2 linked regions of the Caenorhabditis elegans genome follow. The protein of the gene in region 2 purifies or fractionates together with the protein of the main gene of each other region. This does not show direct contact. Each region holds a gene or a part of one and is shown on either strand. Other genes may lie near its edges.

The links.
Region 1: the proteins of manf-1 (region 2) and znf-207 fractionate together in Caenorhabditis elegans (co-fractionation; one large-scale study listed by BioGRID). This does not show direct contact.

What each region holds. Positions count from the first base shown.
Region 1 is NC_003282.8:11,309,044-11,312,972, reverse strand, and holds znf-207 (BED-type domain-containing protein), read right to left. Parts: upstream 2,002-3,929; 5' UTR 1,974-2,001; coding exon 1,933-1,973; intron 1,881-1,932; coding exon 1,754-1,880; intron 1,697-1,753; coding exon 1,471-1,696; intron 1,422-1,470; coding exon 1,107-1,421; intron 1,055-1,106; coding exon 915-1,054; coding exon of another isoform or gene 867-914; exon of another isoform or gene 834-866; intron 814-833; coding exon 637-813; 3' UTR 455-636; downstream 1-454. Other genes in the region: DnaJ homolog dnj-2, read left to right, coding at 1-27, 74-259.
Region 2 is NC_003282.8:2,926,914-2,930,223, forward strand, and holds manf-1 (Mesencephalic astrocyte-derived neurotrophic factor homolog), read right to left. Parts: upstream 1,509-3,310; 5' UTR 1,506-1,508; coding exon 1,436-1,505; intron 1,374-1,435; coding exon 1,249-1,373; intron 1,177-1,248; coding exon 1,032-1,176; intron 965-1,031; coding exon 798-964; 3' UTR 604-797; downstream 1-603. UniProt on the Caenorhabditis elegans protein: Inhibits endoplasmic reticulum (ER) stress response. Retained in the ER under normal conditions and is up-regulated and secreted by the ER in response to ER stress and hypoxia.

The sequences.
Region 1 (3,929 bases), 8.4 Mb from region 2:
GGAGTTTCACAAATGGAATTCGATCAGGTAAATACTTTTTTCTATCATCAAAAGTTAATAATTTAATTTTCAGAAGTACACTGATGAAGACATTGATGATCTTTTTGAACGAGAATGCTGGCTGAAACGAAACTGTGCAACGTGGAAAGCCGAACGAGACGCTGCGGAACAAGAAAAAATGGCTCAATCGGGTCGGTACAAAAGGTATAAGAGATATATGAAAAACGCGGGAACTATTTCGTTTGTCGATGAAGATTAAATATTTACTAAAAATTACTTATTGCATTTTATAACTCGTTCTTTCTAAATTATTATTCCTTTATGCAGCTGTTTTATCATCAAATTTTTATAGCATTTCATGTTTTCACTTAACTCGAATGTTTCTCCGAGTTTGCGAGCATAATCTACTTCTTTCTTACCAATATTGATGTTTTTTCTTCATTTTCAATCTTTTTTTACTGTGGGTGATAATTTATTCAATTGATAAAAATTGCTTTTTTTTTTTGGAATTTCAAAAATAAAAACCCATCGATGGATTATTCAATAATTTAACATGGACGAGAGGACAATTTTCAGTAAAACACAGAATATAAGGTAAATGGGCGGGACATGAAAGAAGAAGAGATTCGGAAGTGCTCAGTGATAGGGATTGCTGCGTTTTTCGAAGAGCATTTTTACACGACGCTCCTCTAGAGACAGCGAATGATCATCTGGATAGACTATTCTTGTCCTCGAGCCAAGTTTAGATGCAACTACTGCCGCAGCAGAAGCGGCAGCTGCACCAGAAGACGTAGTTGGTGGACCGTTGTTAGGCTTAAAATATTAAAATTAAAAACAAGTTTTATTTAACTTTATTTTATGAAATATCAATAAAGCTCGATCGAAATCCCATTATTTGAAATCAAGGAATATACCTCGACGATTTCCTCCTTTAGTTCAGCTTTCACTTGATCAAATCGGCTACCTCCCGGTGGACCTCCACGATCACCTTCTCTAAACCGATCATCGTATCCTCCTTGATTGTAGTCATCTGGAGCTTGATAATCTTGATGTTCTGAAATTTATTAGCTTGCTAAATCAAGCTTTTACGAATGCCATAAACTCACCATGCTCGTTTTCATATGGTGGCGTCCGTGGTACTCCTCGCATTGGTGGACCCCACCTGTCTCCGCCGTCAGGTTGATCAAATCGGCTTCTTTGAGGAGGACCAGGCATGGGTGGGCCACCAGGTGGTCCATGACCTATTGGCATACGTGGTGGAGGATATGCACCAGGCATTCCTGGCGGAGGCATATACACGCCAGGAGCTGGCGCTGGAGGGTATCCACGTGGCGGAGGATAAGCTCCTGGCATCCCGCGAGGTGGCATCATACCAGATGGCATTGGAGGCATTCCGTATGCCATTGACGGTGGTGGTGGACCTAAAAAATCAACCGTTTTTAGAATGGAACTTAAATATGTTTTCCGCACCCGACGGCATAGGAGGCATTCCAGGAAATGGGAAATGCTGTGGGAAAGGCATAGGAGTTGGCATAGGTGGTCCATTGTCCATCCTTGATCGTTTTTCGTCCGGTTCTTCGTCAGCTGCTCCACGATAAGCGCCAGACGGAATTCCTTGCATTCCGTAAATTTCAACGTGGATATTATCTCTGCCATGTACAGCTGCCGGTATTTTGTCTATAGTTTCTTTATGTACCTGTAATTCGTGGGATTACCGAATGACTTCTTTTTTCAAGAACAAAAAAAAATTAACCTGCATGCAGTGAATCGATAATCCTGGACCACTGAACAATTTTTTGTGACAAATATGACATTTGAAATGTTTGGCTTTTTGATGTTGTATCAGAATCTTTTCATCGTCAAATTCTCGGTTACAATACCTAAATTGAATAGTTTAACTTCAAGAACAGTACAATTATTTTAAAAACTCACCAGCACCATGGTTTATCGACCTTCTTCTTCTTTCTACCCATTTCTGATGGAGAATCTACGTATTTATATCTGAAATAGGAAGAAAAGAATAATTCAACTAATTTTAAAACTCGATTAGGAGAAAAATGTAAAAACCAGTTAAAATATTTCTTCGAAAGGAACGCATGCGCACAAGAAAATTCAATTTTGCAGAGTCCCGCACGAATTATGGGGAGGAGTTACACGCCCTCTGCAAGCCCGCCGCGCACTTTTCCTCTTATTTTACTGCCGTTGTTAACGGTTACCATGGTTTGCAAATAGCTTGTCTGAATCGAAACAAAGAGACATTTTTCAAATTTATTACAATAAATGGAGGAATGAAAAGGGGAAATGTACAATTTTGAAACGTATACCACAGAATTAGAAAAAAAAAACTGACTGTTCAATCAGATATATACTTAACAATTGCAATTGCATATGTACAAATCGTTTGGATATTTTTTAAAGTCGTAATGATTCTTCTAGTTTCTATAACTTTATGAAGTCGAGTGAAATAAATCCGATCGATAATTCGAATTTATTGTTTAGAAGTTTTATGTAAGTTGTCATTAAAATGCCCGTGGAGCTACCGTAACCTATATTTGAGTAACACAAAAAAGTTACTTTTATTATTATGACGGCATCCTTGAAGGTATTCTATAATAGTATTGCACATCAAACACTTTAAAAAATTAATTTTGAATTAAGTTGTTACAAAAGGACACACATAACTATTTAAAAACGCATATTTCAGCATTTTGTGCTCTTAATAATTTTGCAATTGTTTTTCAGGAACTTACAAAACTTTTGGAATTGTCGTTTTTTTGTAACAATTTAATTTTTTCTAATCAACTTTTTTGAAATGTTACTTATTCAAAAGTGGAATATTAACAATTTTGAAACACACAGTTTTCACCAATCATTTTTTGATAAAAAAAAATGGTTTCTTCCAATTTTATTTTTAAATTGTTCATATTCCATTGAAATAAAAGTTAAAATGCTTCCAAAAATATTGAAAAGTGCCAAAACGATATAGTATCGTACATTGCTAACCTTTCAATAAAGTTTGCAGAAAAAAATAAAGTGACGATAATTCAGATTTTGCCACTCATAATTTGGATATCACCCTACAAAATAAAACTACAATTTTCCCATTCTAATTATTTTCAAATTATTTATATATTCAGAAAAAGCAATTTACCGAAACTTTGTCCAAATTTTTTTTTGAAAATCTAAAACATTTCAAAGTGCTATACTGTTCATTTATGAGTATTATAGTTTCATTCAGACAAAATCTATTAAATAGTTATTTACCTCCAATTTATGAAATACGGTATTCGTATTTTCTTTTTTTCATACTATTTTTTCTGGCCACCCGTCACCTTGCTTCTTCTTCTTCTTTTCTTCTTTAGCTTTTTTCCATATTGTATCGTACCCCTCAATTTTCCTGCCACTTCGCATATAAATCTGTCCTTTTTGTTCCCTTCGATTCGGCAGTCATCATCGTTCATCTGGTCCTCCGTTCCTCTCTTCTTCCGTCCTTTTCGTCCCCACTCCCCGTTCACGAGCACATTATCTTCCGAAAAGTAGGCGGAGCCAGTCGGTTCGGCGCCCTTTTCTCATCCACCTGTTTCTCAGTGTCTCTTAGTTATTACACTATTACACATGGCGCCAATAAAAGGACCTCTTAGAATGGGAAGGGCCGTTCACTTGTTCGTTTCATTCTACATCACTTTACTGCTTTCTTTATTTATTCTTATGATATTTTGAGTTGATCTAGATATGACATCGTCCTGAAAACGAAACGGAACAAAAGTTCAAGATATTGATTTCGAATCGTTTATCAGGATGATGTGATTAAAATCAACTCGGACGGTAAGCGAGAGTTTTCAATTATTTTTAACTTTTTTTTGGTAAGATTTAACTACTATTGAGTTACTTTAGATATATGTAAGAAGTTTAGATATATTAAAGGAGCT
Region 2 (3,310 bases):
AATTGGCATTTTTGACGTATTTTCCATCAAAAATAATGCCAAAAACTGAATTTTCGACGTTTTGAGCATTTTGAAAACGCTAAATTCGAGAAAATCGATATTTTCAGCAAAAAAACGCTGTAAATTCTCGTTATCCACGCGAAATCTTAATTTTTATACTAAAAATGTATAAATTTAACGGTAATTTAAGTAAAAAATCAATTCCTTTGCGAAATTTTTAGAAAAATTGGATTTCTGTGCATTTCCCAACGAAAACTGTTATGAAATCGCATATTTTTGCGGAAAAATCACATTTTTCGGTAATTTTAGTAGAAAATATCGCCGAAAATTGATTTTTCGGCGTTGAAAAAGCTGAAAATGGGTATTATTTTCCATTTTTACGTATTTTCCATCAATAATAACGTTTCGAAATCGATAAAATTGGTTTTTGGAGGTTTTTAAGGTGAAAATCGATATTTTCAGCCTAAAAATGCCAGTTTTCGACCGTAAATCTTCGAAAATCACATTTTTAAACTGATTTATTTCCTGGAAAACCTAGAAAAAAGGTAAAATAAATTATTAAAAACCGGATTAGAACCGAAAAATTGGCAAACTGAGGGAAAATCAGGGAAAAAAGCTTCATTTGACCAGACCAGTGGGAGGAAGATGATGATGAAACACGAAAAAATTAAGGGGGGGGGGGGAAATCAATAAATAAATTATTATTAATAAAAAATAGATTTCAACAAGTAAAATTGCAATAAAAACACACACGCTAAAAACACGATTATCACATGTAGAACGGCATGAAAAAAAAATCACAGCTCTTCTTTGACATATTTCGGCTTAAGCTCCTCGATGCGCTTGATGAGCTCGGCCTTCTCGGTGCATCCCTTGCACACCTCTCCCCACTCGCCGAGAATGTTTTTCAGCTCTTTCACGCGCATTTTCTTCAAATCGATCGTCTTCCAGTCGAGTGGCTTGTCTGTGAAATTTGGGGATTTATTTATTTTTTTTTTTTGATTAAAAGCGAGATTATGCGCCAAACGAACCGTATTTAAGCTCACAAATCTGAGCATCCTTGCCCTTGAGCTTCTCCAAACAGACTTTTTCCGTTGGCATCGACCAACTGAGCGGCTTGGTGACCTCGTTCATGATGGAAGTGGCCGATTCTGGGAGTGCGCCGATGTAGAAGCACTGAAAATGGATAAAAATTAAAAATTTTAAAGGAAAATTAGATTAAATCATTTAAATCTTTAAATCCCCTACAAATTTGTTCTCCTTGTTGCGAGTGGTCTCACAATGCTCTCTGATCACTTTTCCGATGGCATCTGGCTTGGATTTGTCGCCGGCCGGCACTTTTGCCATCACATCGTCCAGAACCTTTTTGCAGACTGAAAATTTCGCGATTTTTTATTAGATAATTAAGTAATTAAGCTTTCTCAAATTTACAAACCTTCACATTGTGGAGCAGCAGCCGAGGCGACGACAATCACCAGGGAGATGAGAAGGACGAGTCGGCTCATCTGCTGGAAAAAACAGGGATTATTACGGGGTTTTCAGGGCTCTGAGAGTGTAAATAGCGGGAAAACTGAAAAAAAAAACCAACAAATTATGCAGAAAAATAGAATAAAAAGACAAAAGAAAGCGGAAAAAACGGAGAGAAAATAGAGAAAAAGCGAACGCAATTCGAGAAAATAAGCTGACGTGTTTGCGCGCACCGCGGGCGCGTCAGCACTCTCCTTGGCGCGTTTCTCGATGTGGACGTCAGCGTTAACGTTGACTTTTGGAATTAATTTTGTAATTTATTCGGGCTGATTCGCAGTGAAAAACGATATTTTCCATTGAGAAAACCTCAAAAATAGTTAGAAAATCGTATTTTCCAACTAAAATTAGCATTAAAGATCGCGGGAAACATGAAAATTTGCATAAAACTTCACTTTTTACAGGTTCGCAAAATTTAAAATAAAAATGTTTGAAAATCAGATTTTTTAAAAAATCTTTTCTTGGTCCAGAACGAAATTCAGGTCTCGCGTGGAAGGGATTTTAAAGTCGATTTGGCGGTTCCCGTGGAGATCGGGTCATGGTGCATCGATCAAAATACTTTCTTCTTGTATTATAGGTTTTGTACCATTTTCAGGGGGTTTTCCAGAATTTCCAGAACCAAAAAATCCAAGAATTACAAGAAAATTCGATTTGAAAACACTAAAAAGAAGAAAAAGCGATTTCGAATTCAAAACTACTACTGTAGAGGGGTACTGTAGTCTGAAAATTTGCACAGTTCGCGTTGGGAACACAATATATTCTATTAATAGGCACATCTTGATAAAAACCTGGAATTTTTACGGTTAAAACTAAGTTTTTCAACAGAACATATTCGTGAACTTTCTTGATAAACTCGGTTCTATTTACGTGAAATTTTTAGTTTTTAACAAATTCCACATTTTTATTATATTTAATGCCACGTCATCGCAAAACTAATATCGGAACATTGAGGTTAGTTTAACAGTTTTTTTTCAGTCGAAGAAAAGTTGTGAGTTTTTTTTCTAAAAACATTGTATTCTTTTTTGCTGATATGAGGGTTCTCGAAAAGTTGGTGGCCGAGTTTTCTTCTGCGCGGCCGCGAATAAATAATTTTTTTCAAAGAAAAAAATTAGATTGGCAGGATTTAATGAAATTAGTTTTGAAAATTTTCAGGTTACTTTTTGACCATTATAAAATTTTTTGGTGGCCGAGTTTTCTACACCGTTTGAAAAATTAGTCCGTCGTCCCAACGCAAATAAACTGTGTCGTAAAGTTTGCCTTCTGAGAAAAATCTTTAGGGGTAAATATTTCAAGTTTCTGTGTAAATTTTTGACGCGGGAATTAAAATTTTTTCCCTTTTTTTCAAAGTTAGTTTAAAGATTTGCCCGTGTGGTAGAATTGGACTCATCTCACTAGATTCTCACTATAGGTTCAACCAAAATTTTACAGCTCTGCCCGCATATAAATTGTTCGGAAATTCAGATTTGCATTGTACACTGCAACATTTTCCTCACGAGGGAAGAGGAAAAGTGGTTTCTAGGCCATGGCCAAGGGGCCGATAAGTTTCAGCGGCCATTTATCTTGCTTTGTTTTCCGCCTGTTTTCTTTCGTTTTTCATCGATTTTTTTCGTTTTTTCTTAATAAAACTGATAAATAAATATTTTTTGCAGATGCTAAAACAATTTCCAAGTAAAAAAATCATGTATTCAGTGGGCAAGCAGCGGTGAAAGTGGGCATTGTAATATAATGGATTACGGGAATACAAAACCTAAATTTTTTCTTAAACATGATACATATGCTGCTTAAA